2 linked regions of the Zea mays genome follow. The main gene of each other region encodes a partner of the protein of the gene in region 2 in a complex. Links are inferred from orthologs where the notes say so. Each region holds a gene or a part of one and is shown on either strand. Other genes may lie near its edges. The genes, in order: trafficking protein particle complex II-specific subunit 120 homolog and Trafficking protein particle complex II-specific subunit 130 homolog.

Evidence for each region.
Region 1: Trafficking protein particle complex II-specific subunit 130 homolog (region 2) and trafficking protein particle complex II-specific subunit 120 homolog share a complex: the UniProt entries of both Arabidopsis thaliana proteins name them as parts of the multisubunit TRAPP (transport protein particle) II complex. The link is inferred for Zea mays from reciprocal best matches to the Arabidopsis thaliana genes CLUB and TRS120.

The regions. Positions count from the first base shown.
Region 1 is NC_050097.1:32,869,266-32,872,457, forward strand, and holds the end of trafficking protein particle complex II-specific subunit 120 homolog, read right to left. Parts: coding exon 2,771-3,192; intron 1,229-2,770; coding exon 1,008-1,228; 3' UTR 744-1,007; downstream 1-743. UniProt on the Arabidopsis thaliana protein: Specific subunit of the TRAPP II complex, a highly conserved vesicle tethering complex that is required for the proper transport of proteins in post-Golgi trafficking pathways to the growing cell plate in mitotic active cells.
Region 2 is NC_050098.1:131,487,471-131,490,517, reverse strand, and holds part of Trafficking protein particle complex II-specific subunit 130 homolog, read right to left. Parts: coding exon 2,819-3,047; intron 2,742-2,818; coding exon 2,654-2,741; intron 2,519-2,653; coding exon 2,434-2,518; intron 1-2,433. UniProt on the Arabidopsis thaliana protein: Specific subunit of the TRAPP II complex, a highly conserved vesicle tethering complex that is required for the proper transport of proteins in post-Golgi trafficking pathways to the growing cell plate in mitotic active cells.

The sequences.
Region 1 (3,192 bases), on a different chromosome or scaffold from region 2:
TCTGTCGAGTGGCACAGCAGTCGGAGCGGCGCGGGCGGCGCTGTCCTCTTGTCAGGCCGGTCAGTGGAGCGGCGAAGTGACTGCGGTCACTTCGGCTCTATCGACTGAAGGGCGCGCGTCAGGATAAGGTGTCAGGCCACCTTTGCATTAAATGCTCCTGCGATACGGTCGGTCGGCGTGGCAACTTGGCCAAGGTTGCTTCTTGGCGAAGACTGTGCCTCGGGCGAACCGAAGGTGTGTCCGTTGCTGGAGGGGGTCCTCGGGCGAGACGTAAATCCTCTGGGGTCGGCCGCCCTTGCCCGAGGCTGGGCTCGGGCGAGGCGAGATCGTGTCCTTTGAGTGGACCGAGCCTTGACTTAATCGCACCCATCAGGCCTTTGCAGCTTTGTGCTGATGAGGGTTACCAGCTAAGATTATGAGTCTTGGGGTACCCCTAATTATGGTCCCCGACAAAACTCGATTAGACTATCTCTAGCATCTTATCTATCTTCATAACCATATTTAAATTACACTTTACGAACAGTAGAATCTACAGTGCAGAACAGTGCTTTTAGGTAAACTGCTGGAGACAAAACTTACGCCAAATATAGCGGATTTGGGCTCTCTAGCCAAAACGAACCAGGAAGGTGTGAACTAATCACGCTCTTAGGCTTGGCTGACAATCGTGTATAAAGCAGAGTTTAAAATAGTAGATAAGTATAAGCAAGCTGCTGGTGGTGCGCTCAGTCCAACAATGAACAATGTAAAAAATGTTAAGTAAAATCATATAAGCTAACCAGAAATTAAGATTGTGGAATCATCGACATACAATTTCTGTGCTTGAAACAATACTCACTATGCTTGTACACTGTACATGACATGACTTACAAAGAAGCCAACAAAAAGGACAAAAAACATATCGCATGAGGGGCAGGGCGCCAGGGATCACTCTTGTACAAGATTTTCCACACCTACAATTGTCACAGTAAAATGAGGCCTCTAGACTAGGAGTAACTCAGAAGAACTGCCTATGCTGTACCGACTACCCGGATATGGAATGGGGATCCGCGACACAGTATAGGTTCATCTGGTGACTCCGCCTTTGCACGAGCACGAAGAACGTCTGTGGCATCGATTATAACAGAAGCAGCTTGGAGCGAGTAGTCACCCGGTACAAGGAAATACATGGAGAAAGGATGTACCACCTCTTGCAACGGTGGAACTTCCAGGTGTATATCGCTAAGAACACCTACACAGAAGAACTCGTCAGAGTAGTGAACAGGACATATACGCAGAATAATGCTTCAATGAATAACTTTGCCGGTTAAAGTTTGAAAGATTACGGAATAAAAAAAACATTTGTCCAAAACGATCAGTATAACTCAGGTAAATGACGGTCCTTCAAAGTATAATAAGTAAATGGCTACCCAATTGCCCTTAGCCCCGTTTGGATCCCTGGAATTGAATTCTATTCTAATATTTGTAATTTAGGTATAGATCAATTAATCTAAATATGATTTTATGTACAATATATTATAAACTATTGTTGGTCATACGAGAGAGATATTTATGTACTACATTACTACTATAGATGAGCGAGCCGAAGAACATATCATAAATTGCAGAGTAGAATCATGGACTAGTGATACATAAAATCAATTTCCACTTTCTCAACCTATAAATTTGGGATAGGCTTATATTTAGACTTTGGAAAGTGACAGAATGTCAAATTCCAAAGAATCCAAACCAAATAACCTACCATACTAAGTAAATTTTAATTCCTTCAAAATGGATCCAGAGTCCAAACGGCCCTTAATGTAAAAATCTTTGATCATGCACAAAAAAAAACCTCGGTCGGGTAGAAAAGACCGCTCTCTTCGTATTATATTAAGAAGAGACCGAAATATAGTCCCGGCCGAGAAAATCCCTCGAACCCTAGCCTCCATCACTAACATGCCATCACCGCCCACTCTGCAACGGCCCAACCAGAGGGTGGCGTGCAAGACGTACCCGGGAGCGGGCGGGGCACATCGAAAGGATTTTTTAACCAAGCCAGAAATTCGCCCCCGAGGGGATCGAACCCGGGACCCTGGTAGGGGATGGCAACGGGGAATTCCCCGCCAGGGAATAGCTCCCCATCCCCGTCCCCGCGACGAAAAAATTTCCCCACGGGGATCCCCACAAACGCTTGCGGGGAACATTTCTTTCCCATCCCCGTTCCCCGCAGGGATAAATCCCCAACGGGGATCCCCATCCCCGTTTAAATTATAATTAAGACATACATTCTTTGTTATTAATGTTAAAATTGTCACTTATACATATTGTTATATGTAAAAAATCATTATGCATACATCAAAATGAACACATTTGTACAATTAGTGTTCTCTTGACAAGGTAATTGTTTATTTTTATCGTTAACTAGTACACAAAAACATAGTCACGACTCACGTGCAAGGTTAACGGGTCCCCGCAGGGAACGGGGATGGGGAATGTTTCCCCGTCCCTATCCCCGTTTACCCGTCAGGGGATACATTTTCCCCATTTATATCTCCGCGGGGAAGTTTCTTCCCCATCTCTATCCCCTAATGGAAGAATTCCTCGCGGGAAATCAGGGATCGGGTCCCCATTGCCATCTCTACGGCCTCTGGAGGTGCTACTCGGAAGCCTTAACCATTATGCTAGAGAGCACAAGAAGTTGCCTTCTGTAGCACTGGTCATTGGCTGCATTCATAAAATAAAACAAAAACTGAATCCAGATAGCTATGGAACGGAAACAAAAAAGATAACTCACCAGCCCAGAGGACAGTAGCACTATTTTCATCGAAGCAATTCTCTCCAGCAACATCTTTGCATGAAATGCTAAGGTTCATCCGGATAATTTCCTTTGTGTTGTTGCGAATCTGAACTTCCATATGGGTCATTTCATGAGCAGATATAGGATCTTTGCACCTCAGAACATTGCCAGAATCCTTTGGAGAATCGACATTGACCACAGTTCCATTCGTAACAAGCTTAAAGCTAAACATCAGGGGATCTGGCAACAGTATGTCCATTATAGATGCTTGTAGTGCCGTCTGGATAGCATCTTTAATATTCAGCTCACCTGAGCTATTTCTCCCAGAGTGCCATTTCACTTTTATTTTTGAAATCAAGTTGTTGATAGACGCATTTAGCTCTGCCTTGGCATTCCTTTCTGCTATGGCGGCGGCCCTG
Region 2 (3,047 bases):
GTTGTCATTGTCTGGTCAATCACATGCCCATAGACACCAGAAGCACCCAAATAGGCAAAAATTGTATGGTTCATGGAAACTTATGCCTTCCACCGGAACCATAGAAGGCAGAAACTCAAAAAAAAAATCTTGGGTCTGTATATATAAGAACAATACTATATATATATATATATATATATATATATATATATATATATATATATATATATATATATATATATATATATATATATAGCCCTGGGCTTCCAAATATCCAAGGGAAGCTCTAGTCCAATGTTGGCATCCGGTTCAGCCGCACCAGGTCCCGGACGTCTACTAAAGGAGCTCAGGGCGCTAGGGTTTTATTTTTTAGCGATGTCGGCTGTGATGCCCCCACCCTGATGCACGAGCGACGACACCCCACCCCCCACCCCGCCGTTGCGCGCACGGCGGCGGTAGCTCCCCGAGTCGCGAGCGCGACGGTGGTTCCCTGAGGGAGCGCAGCGGTGACGCCATCCGAGGCGGGAGCGGCGACGGCAACCTCTCCTAGGTGCGAGCGATGGCGCCAGCCTCCCCTAGGCGCAAGCGGCGACGGCGGATCCCACAGGCGCGCGCGATGGCTGCGGCTCCCCGAGGTCACGCCGCAGCGGCGGTCCCCTGAGGCGTTCGCGACGACGACAACATCCGAGGCGAGTGCGGTGGTGGTGGCCCCTCGGACGTGCGAATGATGGCGGATCCAGGAGGCACGTGCAGCGACGACGACCTACTCCAATTATTGTTTATGCATGGGGTTGTTGGTTGGGCACATATTAGAACGTTTTCCATTAATTATGATGTACAATGTAGGTATTTATGCAACTTTCTATAAGGATTTATGCTTTGCGCGATTCCTGTCATCCAATTTTTGCACGAATGCAGTAGAAATGAAAATGCCATCCAAAATTTGCGCGTATGCAATGGAAATTCTCACGACCTACCATAATTTTTGGATCTGCATAAAAGTAGGAACCGAACGCATGTGTCTGGTGGTTGCCATGTTTTTTTATCTGCCATAAAAATGTGATCACGCAAACAAGTCCCCTAATTAACTCTCATAATTAAATCTCCTAATCAACTCCCCTAATCAACTCCCCTAATCAACAACTTTCACGTTGAATCAATATTTACGCTCATAACTGCGGGTTTTTATGATCAAACCTGAAGGTTTTTTACGCTCGAACATGGAGAATTGGAGATGCGTCCATCAGTGAACCGCGTGCCAGAATTTACGCAGTTTACCGCATTGCATAAATATCTTCACCGTGTAGCATAATTAGTATCAGTATATATCATAAACTGGTTCCAATGAGCCTAGTTGTATGGCTGTTGGAACAATCCTATACTTATGGATGAAATAAAGCACTTAAATAAGATTTTTTGTTTCCATGAATGCAATTCATTTCCTTTCATCGCACATTGTTACTATCCTAAATTTGTGTGCATACAACAGGAAACAGATTTTTACATAATGTACCGTATTGCATAAATACATACACACACCGTCTAGCATAATTAGTATAAATTGGTTCTAGCGAGCATAGTTATATGGCTATTGGAGAGATCATATATTCATGGAGGAAATAAAGCATTAAAATAAGATTCTTTTTGTTTCCATACATGAAAATTCATTTCCTTTCATTGCACATTGATGTCATCCTAAATTTGTGCGCATGCAACAGAAACAGATTTTTACGCATTGTACCATATTGCATAAATACTTACACCATGTAGCATAATTAGTATCAATATATACCATAAACTGGTTCTTACGAGCCTAGTTGTAGGGAAAATATCCTATGCAATCAATTATCCTGGTGCAAGCATGCAATCAAGCGATCTGGTACATCCGATCTAGATCTAATGATGACTGTTATTTTATATTTAAGCCCTTCCACCTAAAACATAGTACCTATTTTACTTTTAACCCCTTCCATATGAAACCGTTGGATCTAGATTGGATGCTCTGGATAATTTGATTGCACGCTTGCACCAAAATGAGTGATTGCACAGGATATGTCCTCCTAGTTGTATGGTTGTTGCAGTAATCTTATATTTATGGACGAAATAAAGCATTACAATAAGATTTTTTGTTTTCATGCATGCCAATCCATTTCTTTTCATCGCACATTCCCACCATCCTAAATTTATGCGCATGCAGCAGGAAACAGATACACCTTCCAAATTTTTCGCACATGCAAATGGAAACAAATATCCGCATGCAGGGGATGGACGTGTGCACGGGATCTAGGTGGCCAAGCCGGTCGGGTGGTGCAGGGCACGGCTGGGGCTTCTAGTATATATGTTTGGAAGAGCAGGGCTCCCAATATCCCTGTATATATATGTGTGTGTGTGTGTGTGTTTTAAATCTAGGAATACAACAATGACAATCATGTGCCAGACAAGAAAGAACTTTACCTGTAGAAGTAGAGCTCCATCATTGCACTTGTCCACGACGCGTGTGCTTACATGGAATGGGTTAGTAAAATGAACTGCAATGGTCCTGAAAATCATAATAATAAATTTGTTGAGTATCTATATCTAAAGTTCAATGTATCGAAGTATCTCATCTTTTCTTATACAATGGCAGACATGACACAGCTCTTCTGCATGTTTGAGGGGAAAAACAGAGAGATACCTTTCAAACACTTGGTTACGGAAAACTCCAAACTCAAGCTTGAGAGCAATCATTCTCATCCCATCTACAACGCTCTGTTTCTGAGACACTGAAACAAGGACAAAGAAAGGTCAACTAACTGATTGAAACATAACATAGTGAATTTATCACTTGTTACATACAGACCTAGGGATTCTCCTCTTGCAATTGTGTCATCAATAGCACGAACAGGAAACCAAACAAGAGTAGTCACATCACTAGCCCAATCAGGAAGTTCTATCTTTCCATTTTCAATAGGTACCTTTTCAACCTTTCCAGCTTTGATGGAGCTGTTGGCAGAATTAGCACACTCCATATCACTTACGTAAATTTCTATTTCAATCATCTGAGACTCCTCAATTTTCAGTTCAGCGCC